Linked DNA regions of Elephas maximus indicus. The protein of the gene in region 1 purifies or fractionates together with the protein of each later gene. This does not show direct contact. Links are inferred from orthologs where the notes say so. Each region holds a gene or a part of one and is shown in the gene's direction. Other genes may lie near its edges. The genes, in order: STX11 and VAMP8.

The links.
Region 2: the proteins of STX11 (region 1) and VAMP8 purify together in Homo sapiens (co-immunoprecipitation; 3 studies listed by BioGRID and IntAct, counting the BioPlex papers as one, with this or other methods). This does not show direct contact. The link is inferred for Elephas maximus indicus from reciprocal best matches to the Homo sapiens genes STX11 and VAMP8.

Annotation. Positions count from the first base shown.
Region 1 is NC_064819.1:214,680,260-214,692,079, forward strand, and holds the start of STX11 (syntaxin-11), read left to right. Parts: upstream 1-6,431; 5' UTR 6,432-6,526; exon of another isoform or gene 6,527-6,687; intron 6,688-6,772; 5' UTR 6,773-6,890; coding exon 6,891-6,954; intron 6,955-11,820. UniProt on the Homo sapiens protein: SNARE that acts to regulate protein transport between late endosomes and the trans-Golgi network.
Region 2 is NC_064835.1:49,019,662-49,030,406, reverse strand, and holds VAMP8 (vesicle-associated membrane protein 8), read left to right. Parts: upstream 1-6,488; 5' UTR 6,489-6,678; coding exon 6,679-6,681; intron 6,682-8,011; coding exon 8,012-8,170; intron 8,171-9,518; coding exon 9,519-9,662; 3' UTR 9,663-9,976; downstream 9,977-10,745. UniProt on the Homo sapiens protein: SNAREs, soluble N-ethylmaleimide-sensitive factor-attachment protein receptors, are essential proteins for fusion of cellular membranes.

The DNA of each region.
Region 1 (11,820 bases):
CCCTTAAAGGATATTATACTACTTCACATATGGTAAACTTCCATATCTGCCCTCCTAGACCTTGTGATATTATTGTTATACATTTTATATTAACATATTTTATAAGGCTCATACTACATTATTATTTTAAACAGTTATCTTTTTTCTATAGATAATTCCCTTTATTTATTCTTTGTTAATTTTTCTGTCATCAGATTTTTAAGTCAATATTGCATAAACAGTTATCTTTTTAAAAAATACTTTATTGTGATTTTGGAGAAAATTTACATAGCAAATTAGGTTGTCATTTAATAATTTCTGTACATATTATTCAGTGACATTGTTACACTTTTCACAATATGTCAGCATTTTTATTATTTCCATTCCGTTTGTTCTGTTTCCATTAATCTAGCTTCCTTGCCCCCTTACCTTCTCATCTTCGTTCTAGGGTAAATCTTGACCGTTGGGTGTCATTTAGATGATTGTTTAGAGAAGCACAGTACTCACAGGTGATATTATTTATTTTATGAGCCGCTCTGTCTTTTGGCTGGTAGGTAACCTCTGGGGGTGGTTGAGTTCCAAGTGTAAATGGTATCCCAGGATGATAAACTTGGGGGCTCCTCTAGTCTCTACCAGCCCAGTAAGTCTGGCCTTTTTTTAGGAATTTGAGCTTTGTCCTGCATTTTTCCCCATCTATCTGGGACTATCTATCATGTCCCTGGTCGGAATGGTCGATAGTGGTAGCCAGGCACCATCTAGTTTTTCTGGTCTCAAGGTAGGTGAGGCTGTGGTTAGTGCAGACTATTACTCCTGTAGACTAGTTTCTTCCTTGAGTCTTTGGTTTCCTTCTCGCTCTTTTGCTCCAGACGTGTAGAGACCAATAATTGTATCTTTATGAGCTATGTTACGTCAACTGACCGAGCTGTCCCCAAAGACTATCATCTTAAGCCCTCAAACTCAGTAACCCAATTCCACAAGGTGTTTGATTATGTCTAGGAAGTATCCACAACTGTGCCCCCATGTGCTGTATTTTTATATAAGAATATGCAGCACACACAAATATGTATGTACATTTGCCTACAGAAACACCTATACATGCACACCTGTATATCCGTATGTACTCACCCACAGGTAAATAAGCATACGTATCTACTTATGTAATTACTTACATATTGTTTGGTTGTTATTACTGTTGTTGCACAACTGTATATGTTGTGGCCTTTACCAAAAATGTTTCTTATTCTTGTGTATTTCTTAGTGTCATCTCTTACATTGGTCAAGTTGTGCTACACTCATCCTTGTTTGATATTGCCTTACTCAACACCAAAACTAACAAATATCTACTATCTAGAAAGTGATTCTCCCTCCCGTCCCTGGTAACCACCAAAGAACATTGCTTTCTATATGTATACCTGGAAATTCTGGTGGCGTAGTGGTTAAGAGCTATGGCTGCTAACCAAAAGGTCGGTAGTTCAAACCCACCAGGCGTTCCTTGGAAACTCTATGGGACAGTTTTACTCTGTCCTATAGGGTTGCTATGAGTTAGAACTGACTAGACAGCAGTGGGTTATGTGTTCTTGTCTTTTTATAATGGGGTCATGCAGTATTTGTCCTTTTGTTATTGACTTATCTCACTCAACATAATGACCTCCAGATTTATCCGTGTTATAGTATATTTAGAGAACAGATTGTTATTCTTTATGGCTGCATAGTATTCCATTGAGTGTATGTACCACAGTTTATCCATTCAATTGCTGATGAGCTGTTGGGTTGTTTCCATCTTTTTGCTATTGTGAATAATGCTGTGATGAACATGGATGTGCATATATCTGTTCATGTCAGTAGTTTTAGTTCTCTAATGGGTTTTTTAGGGTATATACCTAAGAGTGGGATTGCCAGATCAGAGGGTATTTCTATTTCTAGCTTTTTGAGGAAGTGCCATATCGTTTTACATGGTGGTTGAACCAATTTACAATCCCAACAGCATGGAAGCAGAGTTCTAATCTCTCTGCAACCTCTCCAGCATTTGTTGTTTTCTGATCAGTGCCACTTTTGAAGTGATGAAATCGTATCTAATTGTAATTTTGACTTGCATCTCTCTGATGGCTAATTACTGTGATTATCTTTTCATGTGTTTGCTGGCCACTTGAATATCCTCTTTGGTGAGGTGTCTGTTCATGTCCTTTGCCCGTTTTTTAATTGGATTATTTGCCTTTTCACTGTTGAGTGTTAAGGTTTTCTGTGTATTTTAGAGACTAAACCCTTATCGGATATATCATTCTAAAAGATTTTTTTTCCCAATCTGTAGCTTCTTTTTTTAGTTTTTTGTAAACGTGATGGTTAAGGTTGTATGTCAATTTGCCTGGGCAATGATTCTCAGTAGCTTGGCAGTTATGGTGTAGTTTGGCAATTATGTAATGATGTAATGAACTCCATGATGAAATCTGCTATGAGCAGCCAATCAGTTGAAAGTGAGTTTCCTTGGGGGTGTGGCCTGGCTCCAGTATATAAATGGGTGTTACAGCAAGGCTTTCATACTAGATGCTATATCCGGCTTGTCATCATCTGACTTCCAGTTCTTGGGACTTGAACTAGCAGCTTACCTGCTGATCTTGGAGTTTGTCAGCCTCCATAGCCTGTGAACCAGTGACATGCCATCTGACCTGACAATCTTGAGCTCATCAGCCCTTGTAGATACATGAGTCAGGAGAAGCCTCCAGCCTAAAGCCTGACCCATGAACTTAGGACTTGCCAGCCTCTACAACCACATGAGCCATTTCCTTGAGATAAATCTCTCTCTGCACATGTACATATATACACATATATATATACACATACACACACACACACATATATATATACCTCATGGGTTTTGCTTCTCTACAAAATCCATCCTAAGAAGATAAAATTTTTGGTGAGCATAAGTATTTAAATTTTAGGAGGTCCCAGTTATCTAACATGTCTTATGTTGCTTGTGTACTTATAGTTGTGTTTGATAATCTATTACTGAAAAAAATTAGGTCCCATAATTTTGTCCCTGTATTATCTTCCAGGAACTTTATAGTTTTGGCTTTAACATTTAGGTCTTTGATCTATTTTGAGTTAGTTTTTGTGTATGGTATTAGGTATGGATCCTGTTTCAATTTTCTGCAAATAAATATCCAGTTTGGCCAGCACCATTTGTTAAAGAGACTGCTTCTTTCCCATTGAATGGACTTTGACTCTTCATTGAAAATCAGCTGCCCATAGACAGATGGATTTATTCCTGGGTTCTCAATTCTATTTCATTGGTTTATATGTCTGTCATTGAACCAGTACCAGGCTGTTTTGTTTATTGAGGCTGTATAGTATGTTGTGAGATCAGGGAGTGTGAGGCCTCCTACTTTGTTCTTCTTCTTCAATATTGCTTTGGCTATATAGGGTCTCTTTCCTTTCTGTATAAAGTTAGTATATTTTTCCACTTCATTAAAGAATGTTTTTGGAGTTTGGATTGAGATTGTATTATATCTATAGATCACTTTGGGTAGTGGTCATGGATTGAATTGTGTCCCCCCAAAATATCTGTCAACTTGGCTAGGTCATGATTCCCAGTATTGTATGATTGTCTATCATTTTGTCATCTGATGTGATTTCCCTATGTGTTGTAAATCCTATTGCTACGATGCTAATGAGGTGGATTAGTGCCAGTTATATTGATAAGATCTATGAGATTAGATAGAGTCTAAAGCCAATCTGTTTTGAGATATAAAAAAGAGAAGTGAGCAGAGAGACATGGGGACCTCATACCACCAAGAAAGCCTGCTGGAAGCAGAGCGTGCCCTTTGGACCTGAGGTTCCTGTGCTGAGATGCTCCCAGACCAAAGGAACGCTGATGCATCACAAAGACCTTCCTCCAGACCCAAAAGAGAGGGAAAGCCTTCTCCTGGAGCTGGCACCCTGAATTTGGACTTCTAGCCTACTAGGCTGTGAGAGAATAAACTTCTCTTTGTTAAAGCCATCTTCTTGTGGTATTTCTGTTACAGCAGCACTAGATGACCAAGACAGTGGCATTAACATTTTCACAATGTTAAATTTTCCAATCCATGAGTATGCAATATTTTTCCATTTATGAAGGTCACTTTTAGTTTCTTACAGTAGTGTTTTATAGTTTTCATTGTATAGGTCTTTTACATCCCTGGCTAGATTTATTCTTAGGTATTTTATCCTTTTGAGGGGTATTGTAAACTGTATTTTTAAAATTTCCTTTTCAGGGTTCTCCTTGTTAGTGTAAAGTAACCCGACTTATTTTTATGTGTTGATCTTGTACTCTGCCACTTTGCTGAATCCTTCTATTAGATCCAGTAGTTTCTTGTGGAATCTCTGGGATTCTCCATGTAAAGAATCGTGTCATCTGCAAATAGAGAGAGTGTTACTTCTTCCTTTCCAATTTGGATCCATTTTTTCTTTTCTTGTTTTATTGCTCTGACTAGGACTTTCAGGATAATATTGAATAAAAATGGTGATAGCAAGCATCCTTGTGTTGCACCTGCTCTCAAGGGGGAGGCCAGTTAATTATCTTTTAAGGATATTTAGCAATAAGAAAAAAATTTTTTGTATATTTACCTAAGTAGTTTCCATTTCCAGTGTTCTTCCTTCCTTTGTGTAGATCCATATTTCCATCTAGTATCATTTTTCTTCTGCCTGAAGAACTTCCTTTAGCATGTGTGAGTCTGCTGGTAATGAATTCTTTCAGCATAAGTATGTCTGGGAAAATCTTTATTTCATCTTTGTTTTTGAAGGATGTATTCATTGGGTATATATATATATATATATATATATATATATATATATATATATATATATATATATATATACATAGACAGTTTTCCTTTCTTTTTTTTTCCCCCTTAGTATTTTTTCTTCTCACTTGCATTCCTTTGGTGTGAAACATTCTGTCATCCTTATCTTTTTCTTTCCGTACATAATGTGTCATTTTCCTCTGGCTGCTTTAAAGATTTCCCCTTTATCACTGATTTTGAGCAGTTTGGTTATGATATGCCTTCGAGTGGTTTAATTCATGTTTTTTGTGCTCAAGCTCATTGACCTTTTCAGATCTGTGGGTTTTACAGGTTTCCAAAATTTTTAAAATATTTTTCCCACCCCTCCCTTCCTTTGGGGTTTGCAATTACATATGTATTAGGCCATTTGAAGTTGTGCTAAAAAATTACTACAGAGTATTCCTGAATATTCTCTACTCAGTTTCTCTAATTGTTTTGCTTTTTTCTTCCTCTTTCTGTTTTTCTCTTTCTCTCTCTTTGTCTCTCTGTCTCTCTCTCCACACACACACACAGTCACATATGGACACACATATGCACACACACATTGTTTTTTCTGAGCGTTTCGAGATTCAGTTGCAAACATGATGCCCCATTATTCCTTAATGCTTGAGTATGTATTTTCTAAGAAAAAAGAACTCTTCTGTACTACTATAGGTTTGATAGAAGATAGATCACACTTCAGTATTTCAATTTATTAACACTGCATACAGTCATAAATATTCAATAAAGACAGTTTCATGAAATTAAACTCTTGTATTTTAGCATTTTATTTTAGGGACAGTTTTAAATTGATTGATTCACTAAAATCAGGGATTGATAGTTCAAAAGGAATTTATAGTTTAAAGGAAAAATTACAACAATGAGGATCAAGAAAATGAATACCTATTGTATTTAAAGTAGAGATTCACATGGTAACAAGTGAAATACAAAATACCCAATTTTACTTTTCTATTTTTAGAATAGACATTTGTGGTTTTGTTTCATCAAAGCAGTATTAAATCATTGTTTATTTTAATATTATTAATTTTATACTTAGATGGTGCAGATTGATTTGGAATTTATGCATTTTTTAAGGGCCTGTAGACATAAAGAATATATATCATGTGTATGTTTAAGTAAGGAGCCCTGGTGGCACTGTGATTAAGCCCTTGGCTGCTAACTGAAAAGTCTGCAGTTCACACCCACCAGCCACTCTGCCAGAGAAAGATGTGGTAATTTGTTTCTGTAAAGATTATAGCCTAGGAAACCCTGTATGGCAGTTCTATCCTGTCCTATAGGGTTGCTGTGAGTCCATATCCACTCAAGGGCACACAACAACAATATTGTTTATATTATATTTAAATAACATTAGAGGAGTAATAGTTTGTCATTGATCCTGGATTTCCTGTTTTTTTTTTCCTTGCAGGAAGGTCCAATCATTATTTAAGACAGAAACGTGCTATGCTAGGCCCATAGATAAAATAAGGACCTAGAAATGATTATGGCCAGTACCCACATTTGTATTGTAACCGAAGATGAATTCCAATCTGCATGGGACATCTGTGTTTTTTTGTGACTAGAGCCGTGACAAAAGTTCCTGTTTTTCATAACTCACTTTTGCCTATTACCAACCTGTAGAAAATAAAGTTTAAAGAAGTCAGCTGGAGCTGCCTGCTTTCAACACCCAAAGCTAGTGATGCAAGGCCGTGTCAGCCCAAAGATTCCTCCTGACACTTGGGCACCCCAGTAAGGTAAGATGCTGCAGACCGAAAGGAGCTTCTGCCAGGCTCTCCAACGAGTCCTCACCAAGATCATCATCACATGGTGCAGATATCGTCAAACACACAATTTGCCTTTTGAATTTGTGTGTTCACTCTGCAGAGTTCAACCTGTTTTCACTATACCAAATTTCGTAAGTTTGTCTTAAACACCCATTCATCGTTTTAAACACTTTTTTTTTTTGTGGTACCAATATTGTCCTTTTTAATTTTCTTTAGAGTCGCAGAAGGATGCTGGCTGTTGTCTATGAACACACAGAAATTATAAATCATCTGTGACAGAGGAAACAGTTCGTCTGAAGAGGATACCAAAGGAAAAACTAAGAGAAACAAAAACATGGAGCTGCAGCAAATGGATGAAGAAGAGGAAAAAGAGAAGACCACCAGGTCTCAGCCCGAAAGTAAGACTTTTTGGTATAGCACTATATAGTTTCTAAATGGATCACACAAATTCATCTAAATGAACAAAATATGAATGTAAAAACGTTAAGTCTTTTTGTAAGAATCATACTTGTTGAGAACTAATTTAATTATTCAAATTAAAAACTAATATCTAGAGGCTTCTGCCTAAAATATTACGTATAAAAACCTTGGCTTACTTGTTATACTCTGTTTATGCTTTTCTGTTTCGCTTTTCTCAATTCCTCAGGACAGGGCAATGGTGCAAAAAGGGTTTACCAGAAATGAGTATTGAGCAACAGTCTCATCTTAAAATACTTTTGCAACTCGTTATGCAAAATCACTGTTGCAGAAAAATTGAGTTCCATTAAGCGCTATTCAGCAGACCAGTTATACCGTCTCTCTACCAGACTTTTTAAACCCATTCCTTTTCACAGGGAAGTTTTGTTCTCTTTGTATGCATACAGCAACCAATACATGCTAAACTGAAGTCCCTTACAACAAGTATGCAAATGTATTAGAAGAAAGTTTTCACTTAATTGAAGTTTGGGTTAAAATTAAAATACAACAATGCCATTTTAGGAATTGCAGGTGTCTTATTTACCTAGTGCTGCTATAACAAAAAATACCACAGGTGGAAGGCTTTAACAAAGAGAAATTTATTCTCTCACAGTCTAGGGAGTTAGAAGTCCAAATTCAGGGCACCAGCTCCAGGGAAGGCTTTCTCTCTCTGTTGGCTCTGAGGGAAGGTCCTTGTCATCAATCTTCCCTGGTCAAGGAGCTTCTTAGCACAGGGACCCCAGGTCCAAGGGAAGCGCTATGTTCTTGGTGCTTCTAACTTGGTGGTATGAGGTCCCCCTGTCTCTAGGCTTGCTTCTCTCTTTTATATCTCAAAAGAGATTGGCTTAAAACACAATCTAGTCTTGTAGATTGAGTCCTGCCTCATTAACATAACTGCCGCTAATCCCATGTCATTAACATCATAGAGATAGGATTTACAACACATAGGAAAATCACATCAGATGACAAAATGGTGGACAATCCCACAATACTGGGAGTCATGGCCCAGCCAAGTTTACAGATATTTGGGGGGCACACAATTCAATCCATGACAGTAGGCAAGGATAAAATTTTACTAATACCAAAATAATACAATTTCCACTACTTGTTTTCTACTCCTCCTTGTGTACCATGCACAGAAAAATAAATAAGCTTACTAAACAAAAAGGAACTTGCTTTTCTATGAGTTACCCATTGTGCCCTTTTCTTTTTAAAGTAATTTTTCTAATTTTACTTAGATTTTGAATGCAAGCAAAAAAGTCATTTGCTTTGGAGAGTCATTTTTTAAAAGGAAAAGAGCTTTGGGTCTTCTGTGGTCTTTGATAGTGCACTTGGATTCTTTATTTTTTAGTGGTTAAGGATTTGCATTTTGTGTTGGACACTAGGATTTGAATCTAGGTTCTTCTACTTACTGGTGCTGGGACTGTGGATAGGAGACTTGAAGTCTTATTTTCCCCCTTTGTCAAATGGGGTTGAGTAGGGCACATCTAATAAATTTGTGATGAGAATTATACGAAATTATATATGAAAATGTTAGCACAGTGCTTGGCAATTGTAACTGCAACAGCAAGTATTGGTTATCTTTAATATTGGTATTAGTATTATCCTATGAGTCGGAATCGACTCGGCGGCACTGGGTTTTTTTTTTTAGTAGTATTATGGGATTTCCCTTTTTTAATAATCTGGAGCTGGCTGATTATTTTATGTTTGAATCTTGAGCTTCAAGGTTTAGAATCTGTATTCTCTGGTAAGGCTGTGTGTGTTGAGTACTGATGGATTTTTTGCAGTACCGAAATACAGCCTTCCTCACATATCTAGAAACAACTTAGAACTTCTAAGATGTAGAAACATTTAAAACCTTAAAAATAAACCTATCACCTTACAAATTCTCATTTACATATTTCTATAAATTACGTGTTATATAAAGAAGCTATAAAAGATTCACCTGTGAATCTGAGGATATTTCTTTAGTCTGAGTGTACTGGAGAAAAATTTATATTATGTCACATACTGTATGTTTTCTTCATAAAGCTAATCAGTGAATTGAACAGTAATATGATAATACATATCACCAGGGGCTATTTTTGTAAGGACTGTAGGTACAGAATTTCTGAAGCTGGCATTTGAGGGCTATGATCTAGCTGCTAATTAAGGATGGCATATCAGTTACGGTCCCAACAGGAAACAGATGATACATTCAAATTAACCACCCACTGCCCTTGAGTCGATTCCGACTCATAGCAACCCTATAGGACAGGGTAGAACTGCGCCATAGAGTTTCCAAGGAGCACCTGGCAGATTTGAACTGCCGACCTCTTGGTTAGCAGCCATAGCACTTAACCACTACACCACCAGGGTTTCCACATTCAAATTAGAATAACTCAAAACCAAAACCAAACCCACTGCCATTGAGTCGATTCCGACTCACAGCGACCCTATAGGACAGAGTAGAACTGCACCATAGAGTTTCCAAGGAGCACCTAGTGGATTTGAATTGCCAACCACTTGGTTAGCAGCCACAGCACTTAACCACTACACTACCAGCCTTCCCAGGATAACTCAAGGAAGACTTATTTGTAAGAGGGCTTTTACAAACGCCATCACTTATCTGTCAGTTTATTGTACTGTGGTAGCTTATGTGTTGCTATGATGCTGGAAGCTATGCCACTGGTATTTCAAACACTAGAAGGGTCACCATGGTAGATAGGTTTTAGCAGAGCTTCTGGACTAAGACAGACTAAAAAGAAAGGCCTGGTAATCTACTTCCAAAAATTAGCCAATAAAAACCTTATGGATTACAACAGAACATTGTCCAACTCACTTGCTTTGGAGACATCATCAGGAAAGATCAATTGCTGGAGAAGGACATCATGTTTGGTGAAAGAGAGGACTAGAGAAGGTAAGGGACAATGTCTTAGTCATCCAGTGCTGCTACAACAGAAATAACACAAGTGAATGGTTTTAACAAACAGAAATTTTTTCTTTCACAATCTAGTATGCTAAAAGTTTGAATTCAGCATACCACCTCCAGGGGAAGACTTTCTCTCTCTGTTGGCTCTGGAAAAAGGTCCTTGTTATCAGCCTTCCCTTGGTTGGGGAGCTTCTTAGTGCAGGGACCTTAGGTCCAAAGGAAGCTCTATGCTCCCAGTGCTACTTTCTTGGTGGTATGAGGTCCCCATGTCTCTCTGCTTGCTTCTCTCTTTTGTATCCCAAAAGAGATTGGTTTAAGACACAATTTAATCTTGTAGATTGAGCCCTGCCTCATTGACATAACTGCCAATAATCCCATGTCATAAACATCAGAGATAGGATTTACAACACTTAGGAAAGTCACATTAGATGAGAAAATGACGGACGATCACACAATACTAAGATAGCCTAGCCAAATTGATACACATATTTTGGGGTGACACAATTCCATCCATGACAGAGACTCTTGGTAAGATGTTTTGGCACAGTAGCCACAACAATGGACTTGAACATGCTGGCGATAGTGAGGATGATGCACGTTGGGGCAATGTTTCCTTCTTTTGTACATAAAGTTGCAGTGAGTCAGATTCAACTCGATGCAGATATCTATGTATCTGTCTATCTATCTACCTATATGTCTGTCTCTATTACGAAGGTGTGGGCAGAGTGTCAAGGAACAGTAATATCATCCTGAGAATCATTAGTAGGGAGAAGTACCTGGAACCAGGAAGGAGAGAGAGTCATGTAGAGCAGTTTAGAATAAATTCACTGACCTCAACCCCTGTTTCTGCTCTCCTGCTAGGGTTCCTCATTGGTTAAGCCCAAGGGAAGCCACAGAGCACAGGAGTCTGTTAGGCTAATTCTCTCAGATCAGCAGGCCCAGGGCAGACAGCAGGGTGGAGGGAGGTGGAAAGCAATCTGGACGAACAAAGAAAAGACATCTGGCATATATGTTAATACTATAAAAATCTAGAATTTATTTTTTCTTGTTACTCTATTCATTGGTTGCAAATGTTTATAAAACAGAATTGTAGCTTTATACACACACAGTAGACAAGATTCTTCCAGGAATTTAGTTTAAAGCTACATTTTGAGCAATGGTGGAAAGAACATACGTAACTTAAAATCTTTGTTTTATAAAAATAAATTTTTTTTTAACTATATTGGAAGTATATGCATATTTCTAAGTCTTGTTATGCCTGGATGCCTCTCTTATAATGCCACCTCAGAACCCTGAGATCCTCCAAATTCAGTTCAGCAGTTACTTTGATCATTCATTCACTCTTCATTCAACAAACATTTAAGGGAGGTCTCCAATGTGCTAGGTACTGTGCTAGGCTTTGAGTAAAAGTAGTAAGTGGAAATAAAAACAATCTCTGCCTTTTTCAAGCTTACTTTTTAGTAGATTTGTGTTTTGAAATGTTTAGAGAAAGATCTAAATAGTTATATAAGTCTGGTTCATAAAGGTAATCATCAAGAGCAACAGAACCACATGGCCATTAATTGTCCAAATACAACATTTAAACATGAAAATTGGAGACCTTGCTGAGGAGTCATTTATGTGTGAAATAGCCACAAACTTTTTTTTTTGTTGTTGTTGTTGTTGTGTTAGGTTCCATTGAGTTGGTTCTGACTCATAGAGACACTATGTACAACAGAAACACTGCCTGGTCCTGCCCCATCCTCGCAATCATATGATTAAGCCCATTGTCACAGCCACTCATTGAGTGTCTTCCTTTTTTCCATGACCCTCTACTGTACCAGGCATGATGTCCTTCTCCATGGACTGGTCCCTGGAGAAGGACTTGTCCCTCCTGATAATATTTCAAAGTATATGA
Region 2 (10,745 bases), on another chromosome or scaffold:
TCAGTTCAATTCCTTAAACATTTAGTGAGTGCCTAGTATGTGTGATGCATCTGTCATGTAGTACAAAGGTTACCTAAGTGAAGGCACGGCTCCTGCCTTCATAGAGACTAGAGTCTGTTGGAGGAGTCAAATGTGTATGCATTTAATGGCAAAGTGTATGATAGATTCTATAAAAGAGAAATAAAGCATGATGGCAGATCAGAAGAGGGAGAAGTTAACTTCAGTGGAGAAATCTGGAAGACTTGATGGAGGCAATGTCTTGAAGTTTGAATAGAATTTCCAATAGGCAGTAATGAGCAAAGCAGGATCTTCACTCTTCTTGAGAGAGGTCTACTTGAACAAAGATATAAAGGGGTATGGTGTATTTGGGAAAGAGTATGTAATTTGGTCAAAAGACCTCTTTAAAGTGTTAAAATGCAAAATGCAAACATGTCACTTTTAGGCCTAAGGTGTGTCTGACCCAAGCCATGTTATTTTCAATTGCCTCAGATGCATGTGAAAGCTGGGCAATGAATAAGGAATACAGAAGAGGAATTGATGCATCTGAATTATGGTGTTGGTGAAGAATATTGAATATACCACGGACTGCCAAAAGAACGAACAAATCTGCCTTGGAAGAAGTATAGCCAGAATGGTTCTTAAAAGCAAGGATGGCGAGACTTTGTCTCATGTACTTTGGACATGTTATCAGGAGGGACCAGTCCCTAGAGAAGGACATTATGCTTGGTAAAGTAGGGAGTCAGAGAAAAGAGGAAGACCCTCAATGAGATGGATTGACACAGTGGCTGCAACAATGGGCTCAAGCATAACAACAAATGTGAGGATGGCGCAGGACTGAGCACTATATTGTTCTGTTGTACATGGGATTGCTATGAGTCAGAACTATTGAGTCAGTACATTATAACACAAATGTAATTTGGTGTGACTTGGAGGCAGGGAGGAGAGTCTCATTAGACTCTGAGTGTCTCACCTTTTGTGGGTATTCTCAAGGTAGTCTTCTGACAAAGGGTAACCGTGTAGTGTTTGCACAGGTGAGGCCAGCCTGCAAGGATGTGCATGGTGAAGGTAAGGGTGAACAGGTTGGCAGGCCCAACTGTGGGCATTTTGGATGTTCCCTCCTGATGGTTGCTGGGGTGAGGCCAGGGTCAGCTCCCTCAGGGACACCCACATGTGTCCAAGGCTTGCTGTGGCATGCCAGAACCCAGTAACTCCTCAAATATTGTAACTCTCACCCTGATCCTGGGAATCCTCTTCCAATTTTTGCAGTTCCTCTCAGGCATCCCACTCTGGCCTTCTATTTCTTGGCACCTCTCATGTTTCTCCATCCACCACCTCACTTGTTAGGTGCAATCAAGTTGGTTCCAACTCACACCAACCCTATATACAAAAGAACAAAACACCACTGACCAGTCCTGTGCCATCCCCACAATTGTTGCCATGCTTAAGCCTGTCGTTGCAGCCACTGTGTTAATCCATCTCACTGTGAGTCTTCCTGTTTTTCGCTGACCCTCTACTTTACTGACCATGATGTCCTTCTTCAGGGACTGATCCCTCCTGACAACATGTCCAAAGTATGTGAGACGTAGTCTCACTGTCCTTACTTTTAAGGAGCATTTTGGTTGTACTTCTTCCAAGACAGATTTGTTCCTTCTTTTGGCAGTGCATGATATATTCAATATTCCCCAACACCACAATTCAAAGGTGTCAATTCTTCGGTCTTCTTTATTCACCGTCCAGCTTTCACATGCATAGGAGGTGATTGAAAACACCATGGCTTGGGTAAGGTGCACCTTAGTCTTCAAGGTGACATCTTTGCTTTTCAACACTTGAAAGAGTTCTTTTGCAGCAGATTTGCCCAATGCAATGTGTCTTTTGATTTTTTGACTGCAGCTTCTATGGGTGTTGATTGTGGATCCAAGTAAAATGAAATCCTTGACAACTTCAATCTTTTCCCTGTTTATCATGATGTTGCTTATTGGTCCAGTTGTGAGGATTTCTGTTTTATGTTGAGGTGTAACCCATACTGAAGGCTATGTGTGGTCGTTGATCTTCATCAGTAAGTGCTTCAAGTCCTCTTCACTTTCAGCGAGAAAGGTTGTGTCATCAGCATAACACAGGTTGTTAATGAGTCTTCATCCAATTCTGATGCCCTGTTCTTCTTCATATGGTCCAGCTTCTCAGATTATTTGCTCAGCATACAGATTGAATAGATATGGTGAAAGGGCACAACCCTGATGCACACCTTTCCTGACTTTAAACCACTCAGTATCCCCTTGTTCTGTTCAAACGACTGCTTCTTGATCTATGTACAGTTTTGTCATGAGCACAATTAAGTGTTCGGGAATTTCCATTCTTCGCAATGTCATCTATGATTTGTTATGATCTACACAGTTGAATGCCTTTGTGTAGTCAGTAAAACACAGGTAAACATCTTTCTGGTATTCTCTGCTTTCAGCCAGGATCCATCTGACATCAACAATGATATCCCTGGTTCTGTGTCCTCTTCTGAATCTGGCTTGAATTTCTGGCAGTTCCCTGTCAATATACTGCTACAACCGATTTTGAGTGATCTTCAACAAAATTTTACTTGTGTGTGGTATTAATGATATTGTTTGATAATTTCCACATTCGGTGGGATTACCTTTCTTGGGAATAGGCAAAAATATAAACCTCTTCCAGCCAGTTGGCATAGACTAGTGAGTACTTCCAGCGCTGCATCTGCTTGTTGAAACATCGCAGTTGGTATTCTGTCAGTTCCTGGAGCCTTTTTTTTTTTGCAGATGCCTTCAGTGCAGCTTGGACTTCTTCCTTCAGTACCATTGGTTCCTGTACCTCCTGAAATGGTTGGACATCGACCAATTCTTTTTGGTACAGTGACTCTGTGTATTCCTTCCATCTTCTTCTGATGCTTCTTGACTCATTTAATATTTTCCCCATAGAATCCTTCAGTATTGCAACTCGAGGGTTAAATTTGTTCTTCTGTTCTTTCAGGTTGAGAAATGCTGAGTGTGTTCTTCCCTTTTGGTTTTCCACCTCCAGACCTTTGCACATGTCATGATAATACTTTACTTTGTCTTCTCTAGCCACCCTTTGAAATCTTCGGTTCAGCTCTTTTACATCATCATTTCTTCCTTTCACTTTAGCTACTTAATGTTCAGGAGCGAGTTTCAGAGTCTCTTTTGACATCCGTTTTGGAATTTTTTTTCTATCCAGTCTTTTTAATGACCTCTTGCTTTCTTCGTGTATGATGTCGTTGATGTCCTTGCACAACTCGTCTGGTCTTCAGTCATTAGTGTTGCCAGCGCATCAAACCTTTTCTTGAGATGGTCTCTAAATTCATGTGGGATATACTCAAGGTCATACTTTGGCTCTCGTGAACTTATTCTAATTTTCTTCAATTTCAGCTTGAACCTGTATATGGGCAATTGGTGGCCTCTTCTGAAGTAGGCCCCTGGCCTTGTTCTGACTGATGATGCTGAGTTTTTCCATTGTCTCTTCCCACAGATGTAGTCCATTTGATTCCTGTGTATTCCATCTGGCAAGGTCTACATGTATAGTCACATTTATGTTGGTGAAAAAAGGTACTTGCAATGAAGAAGTTGTTGGTCTTGCAAAATTCTATCATGCAATCTCTGGCATCGTTTCTATCACCAAGGCCGTATTTTCCAACTGCCCACCCTTCTTCATCTCCAACTTTCACGTTCCAGTCTCTGGTAATTATCAATGCATCCTAATTGCATGTTCGATCAATTTCAGACTGCAGCAGCTGATAAAAATCTTCAATTTATTCATCTTTGGCTTTAGTGATTGGTGCGTAAATTTGAATAATAGTCGTATTAACTGGTCTTCCTTGTAGGTGTATGGATATTATCCTATCACTTACAGCATTATACTTAAGGATAGATCTTGAAATGTTCTTTTTGTTGATGAATGCAATGCCCTTCCTCTTCAAGTTGTTATTTCCAGCACCCACCTCACTTAGCAGCTAGAATTCTTAATAACAGTAATCATGATAGCTAACATTCACTGCGGGTTTTTATGTGCCAAGAGGTGCTATGTAAGTTGTCTAAATACACATAAATATTAAGGTGTAGATCAGTGTGTCCAATAGAAATACAATTTGAGCCACATTTGTAATTTAAAATTTTCTACTTAGCCAAATTAAAAAGGGGGGAAAAAAGCAGATGAAATTAATTCCATTAATATCTTTTATTTTAACTCAATATATCCAAAATATCCAACACATCATCAATACATAAAATCATTAAGGAGATACTTACATTCTTTTTTCTACAGAGTCTTTGAAATCTGGTGTGTATTTTACACTTAGAAAAAAACGTTTTTTTTTTTTTTTACACTTAGAGTACACCTCAATTCAGACTAGCCACATTGCAAATTCTAACAGCCACATGGGGCTAGGCTAGTGGCTGCTGTATTGGACAGCACAAATATAGCCCCAGGATGAAATCCGTCTCCACCTGGCCGTACTAGCAACTTTTCTAAGGATGGTGAGGTGTAGGGCAGTCACATTCTCTGTGAAATCAGCTGTTATACCCCTGCTTATAGGGCTGATTGTCCTGTCTACCAAAATTCAGGTCTGAACCTTGAACCAAAACCATCCCCTTATGTCACCTTTTAATGAAATAACAGATTGGCACACAAAATAAGGGATATTCTCTGTGAGTACACTTCTCCATTAAAAAAAATCATCTATATGAGACCAAAGGGTCAATGATTACTCTAAAGCAAAGATGAGAAGACAAGGGGGCAGGAAAAATAGAATGCTGGAAACAGAGCAACCAAAAGGCAGTTAAAGAGAATGTTGACACATTGTGAAAAATGTAACTAATGTCACTGAATAATTTGTATAGAAATTGTTAAGTGGGAACCTAATTCGTTATGTGAACTTTCACCAAAAACACAATAAAATATTATTTAAAAAAATCTCAGGTGTCCATAATCTAATAATCTAATTGAGATTAAAACCTTATAAATTGGAAGGAACGTATCTCAGAGTGCTACCAAAAAAATCCCATTGGCCTTGAGTCAGTTCCAACTCATGGCAACCCCATGTGTGCCGAGTAGAACTGCCCTCCATCGGATTTTTAAGGCTGTGACTTTTTGGAAGCAGATCACCAGGCCTTTTTTCCAAGACCACCAACCTTTCAGTTAGGAGTCAAGAACTCAGCTGCTTACACCACCCAGGAATCCAAAGTGGTACCAAACCCACTGCCGTGGAGTCGATTCCTACTCATAAACCAACTCACAGAGAAAAACTGCCCCGTAGGGTTTCCAAGGAACAGCTGGTGGATTCAAACTGCTGAACTTTTGGTTAACAGCCATAGCTCTTAACCACTGTGCCACCAGGGGTCCTCAAAGTGATACAGTAGTCCAAAACTTCTTAAAGCCTTTTTTTAACAAATGTATTTTTTGGAGGAGCTGACATTTACCTCTCGGAACTGTTACCTCCTGTGATGGGTTAGGCATGTTTCTTCCCTTCTGCATGTCCCTGTTGTTGTTGTTCTGTCTTCTTGATAAAGACTATCTGGGAGGGGTGGATTTTCCCTGGCCTGGAGCCAGATTGATGGAAGAATCCTTCACCCTGGTACCCTCTCTGGCTATTGGGCAGTCCTCTGACCAGGCTTGCCAGCCCTCATGGGGCCCCTGAAGGGAAATGCAGGACTGCTGACCTTTGGAAGGAAGGAGGGTGGTGAGCCATCACTCCCTGGTACTTTCTGGCACCGTACAGGCCCTGAGCTAGGCACTTTGCTGGTGCTGTCTCTTTATCCCTCAACAGCACTGGCTGGGGTCAGTATTGTTCTTAGTTGCCATTGAGTTATCTCGACTCATAGTGACCCCATGTGACAGAGTAGAACTGCCCCATAGGGTTTTCTAGGCTGTAATCTTTACCAGGGTCGAAGGCAATGGGTATATGTAATCTTCACCAAGGAGCCCTGGTGGTGCAATGGTTGAGAGCTCTGGTGCTAACCAGAAGGGTGGCAGTTCCAATCCACCAGCTACTCCTCGGAAACCCCTTTGGTTAGCAGCTGAGCTCTTAGCCACTACACCACCAGGGCTCCAGTGTTAGCATCTGCAAAACTGAGAGGTGAAGGGTCAAGCAGGGTCATGGGGCTAGTAAACTGACACAGCTGGGACTTAAACCTTCCTGACGTCAGAGCCCAGGGTCACAGCATTCCAGACATCGCGGGAGTTAATGCTTTCGGCCCACCCACGGACCTGGGAAAAGGGGTTTTCCAGCAAGGAATTTCTGTATCTGCATTCTATTCCTAAGTGAACCAGGCCTCGCAGGTGCTATGATTGATTTCGGTCTCAGGTATTCAGAGCAGAAAAAGGAGACGGCTGCAGTTTCTAGGTCACAAGGCCCAACCTCAGGAAACTTAGAGGGCTGTTCCACAGTTCTTTTCTCCCTCCCGACGAGTTTGCAGACCTTTGCCGCCGGGGAGCCCTGTTGCTTAAGTCCAGACCCTGGTTTGGGAGGGCAGTGCAGGGCGCCCGCCTACCTGCGGGGACCTGCGCTAGGTGTGGCTGGAGCGGCCCGGGATGCGAGTGGGCGGGGGCAAGCTGAAAGTTGGAGTAAGCAGGAAGTGAACCGAGGGCTCCCGCGGGAGGAAGCCTACTAGGCGAGCTCGGCTGCCGGCAGGCCTTGTGCTCGGAGACATGGTGAGCGAACGGGGCGAGGAAGGGGCTGACTTAACCGGGACCGAGGAGCTCGGGCCGGGGGCTGTAGGTGCTGGAAGTTGCTGGCGGAGTCCGAGGGCTGGGCCAGCGCTGCCTGTGGCCCGTATTCTTTGACAGCTTGGCCGCAAATGGCTCGGAGCCGCCGGGCGCCTGTTCCCTCTTCTGCCCTCCCCTGACCTCCGTGCCGGCCCGAGCCGTGTGGGGGTCCGAATTCCGGGACTAGAACTGCCTGCCAACAAGTCTCCTCCTCCAGCCGGCCCGGGTGTCGTGGCGCTCCCTACAGGGTAGAGCCTCTGCTGTTTCCAGCTTAAATTCCAGCCAGCGGCAGGCTCTCTACCCCTGCCTTTCACTTTTACTCCTACACAAAACTCTGAAGGATTGGGCTGCCCACCGGGCCTCAGGAACTGCCCCCCTGTCGGTAAACTGGAGACTTAAGGGTTTGTAAAAGAATCAGAACTTGGTTGTCTGTGGTCTAGTGTTGGCCCATACCCCTGGCCTGTTTCAGGAGGCTCGGTGGGCCTAGCAGGCAGGAGTTTAATAATGTTTTTTCCCCTCCCTGTTCAAAAACCTTATCGTCAAACCTGGAGGAGGCACCAGCCAGGGAGGGCTTGTCTGGCATTTCACCCAACAGCGAACCTGGTATTTCAGTTTAATATCTGCATAAGCAGGCAGCAGCTTGGGGCCTGGGAATAGTGCTAAGTGGTGGGGAAAGCAGAAGTTTGCGGCTCAACGGCCTGGGTACCTCGTGGGGGACTTGGACTCAGGCTGCTCAGTGCTCTGGGTCCCAGCAATGGAACTATGGCTAGGCTGCCCAGGAGGGCCAGGAGCCTAGCAGCGCTCCAGCTTCGGGGCTGGAGAGAGGGCTGGCTGGGCTGGGCAGAGCAGCCACTTTTAAGGGGGTGGGGGCGGGAGGCTGTGGAATCAGGGGAAGGCAGGGATGCCTCTGGGAGCTTGTAAACAGTGGTGGGCTCTGCACTGGTGGGGAAAGGACGCCATGGATGTCAGCTCCACCATCTTCTGTGCCTCTCAGAGGGGCCAGGAGCAGCAGAGAGGGGCTTAGTAGTGTGCTGCTTTTCCTTATCAGGAGCCCTGAGAAGCCAGACATGAATTTGCTTTAGTCTGTCTAGATCTCACTTTCTGGGGCTAAAGAATACATTTACTTTTGATTATACAAGTAATACACAAAAAATTCTCTTTGCAACCAATTCAGGCATTACAAAAAGCTAAAGGCCCCCTTCCCCTCCTCTGGCCTTTGAGACAGGCTTTCAGTTCCTCCACCACTGGGCCTCATTAACCCTGTGTTGCTGCCCAGGAGGAGGCCAGTGGAGGCTCAGGAAATGACCGGGTGCGGAACCTGCAGAGTGAGGTGGAAGGAGTCAAGAATATTATGACCCAGAATGTGGAGCGGATCCTGGCCCGAGGAGAAAACTTGGACCATCTCCGGAACAAGACAGAGGACCTGGAAGCCACAGTGAGATGGGGAGCCCGCCGAGGCTGGAGGGAGAGAGGGAGGGTTGTGTGTTGGGGGCAAGGCAAGTATTTATTTGTGGGCCAAAAAAGAACAGGAGAGACAGAAGTTTGCAATTTGCCATTTCTATGCCTTTCTACGTTTTGGGAGTTGGTGTGAGCTGAGTCCCTGCTCTGATCTTCCACTTCTACACTGAGTGGTACTGGGGCCCAAGGCATGGGATCAACGATCAGGGATTGGGGGGCTGATGCTTGAGGCATTTTCTGAGACAGATGGATGGCTCAGTCAGACCATGCACTCTTAGGCTTCCCTCCTATAAAACCGGTTTTCCCTTTAAAGGATGCCCTTGACAATTATTTAAGATTTGACCTCTCCAGGACAAAACTATTAAGTCTGGGAAATCCTACTAGGGGCCTTTGCCTTCTCCAGGAGTTAGCAGGCAGGGGGTGGAAACTGCTGGAATCTTGCTGAGTCAGCTTTAAAGAGGAGCTGGAAGGGGAGTGAAATTCTTTGATCCTGGGGTCCTCTGCCAGCTGAAGGCTAGAATAATATTTCCCACACATCTTGCTAGGCCTCCTTCTTCTCTCTCCACCCAGGGGCCGGGGCCAGATGCTCAGGAAGGGAGTATCTCCAAGTTCAGCAAAGGCTGGAGCCTCAGGTTCCATATTCAGCCAGGAGAGACGAGCTCTGGCTTTCTGAGTCCTGTGGTTAATCTTGAGTATAGCTCCTTGGAGTCCCGGGGACTTACTTTTTCTTTCTGCCACCCAGTCTGGGGAGAATGGCCCAGGGAAACTTAGTTTCTGCAACTGAAGTTGGGGGAAGAGGTATGGTTTTCCTCACTCCCAACACCAACACCAGCCCCACTACCCAGAATGCCCCAGGTCTGTCCTCCAGCTTCCGCAGCCCCCACAGGTAAAGGAGTCATGGAGCCAGGGAGATGCCTGCGCCTCCCCCAGGGTCTGCCTTCCCAAAGCGTTTTTCCCCTGGGTAGAGCATGTGTGTACAAGGCCCCTCCACGTGTGTGACAGTGCCAAGGGTAGAAGAGAAGATGGCAGGTTGGGAGCCAGGGCCCCTGCCACGTTTAGGTAGAGAACTCTCTGGAGCCTAAGAATTCTAAATTTGAACGTGGTCTGCCAGGTGGTTCTGATGATACATTTGTCAAGGTAGGAAGCTAGAACTTTTTTTTTTTTTTTTTAATTTCACAGTTTGTTATCTCAGCTTATAGCTGAAATATTTAGATGTATGGCATGAATTTTTTTTTTTTTTTTTTTTTTTTTTTTTTATGGCATGTGAACCTCCACCCCGAGGGGAAGGAGGCACTGGGTCACTTACTGTCTCTTATCCCCGACAGTCCGAGCACTTCAAGACAACATCACAGAAAGTGGCCCGGAAGTTCTGGTGGAAGAATGTGAAGATGATAGTCCTCATCTGTGTGGTTGTCTTCATCATCATCCTCTTCATCGTGCTCTTTGCCACTGGTGCCATTCCTGTTTAGAGAGTCCCCTCCCACCCTGCCCTCTGGGGCAACCCTCCATAGTTGATGGCAAGGGGGCCCTCTCTCCCGCCCTCCTCCACAGGCAATGCTGCTGGGTCCAGGCCTCCGGCTCCTTGCCTGAGGTCCCTCTGTACATTGCCTACCCCAGGGAGCACCTTGGTCCACTGGAAGGAGAGAGCTGGACTGTGGCTGCATTTCATGGGTCCTCAGAGTGGGTTGGAGAGACTCGGGGCCCAGTATGTGGCTGGGAAACTCTTGGTGGCCTGAGGGTAATAAAGACTTTTCAGTATCCCTACGTGCGTGCACGTGTGTGAGGCACTTTCTCCTTTCCATTTTGCCTTTGACTCTCCTGTTTCTATTCTTCCTGAAAACAGTCTCTGGCTGAGGTCCTCTGACTTGAGACCCAAGTTGTTGGAGAGGTGGAGAGCTTATGTTTGGAGGAGAAAAATGGAGCCTGCCTGTATTTCTTTATTCCTTCTTGGTCCTAACCCATTCATTGTCACAGGTCTCAAGAGCAAGAGTTTTCTGGGGGTCTTGGCATAAAGCAAAACCTTCACAGCATTTTAGTGTGGTGTGTAAGACTCCTATGTATCCCCCTTAGACCCTGCCGTGTCCCTTTACTCCTTGTCTGCTGGAAGTGTTAGCCAAACATGAAGCCTCCCTGATAGCAGTTAGGAATCTGGTGTAGGCCTCTTGCCTCTCCCATCACTGACCCTTTTGCAGTCTAGAACTGGGGGTTAAAGGAGCTGGACTGCTTTTTCTTTTCTTCTGCAAGCTCTTGTCTGTTGCCTGCCCTGCCCTTCTGAGACTTAGCAGGGCCCCTGGGTCTCAGCTGTCCTGAGGGGGCAAGCGTCTCTTCCCCACGTCCCATGGCTGGGCACAGTCAGTGTCACAGGACAGGGCCTGTGGCCCTCCTTCCTGTCCATGCACAATGGGCTTCTGTGTCTTCAGGCCTGCCTCCTCCCCACCAGGTTCCACCGTCATTGCCACTCTTTCTAGTGCCCAGTCTGGTTTGTTTTGGGGGGAGGAGCCTTGCCATCTGTGCCCCTATTCCCCTAGTCATGGGTTTTCCAGAATTGGAAA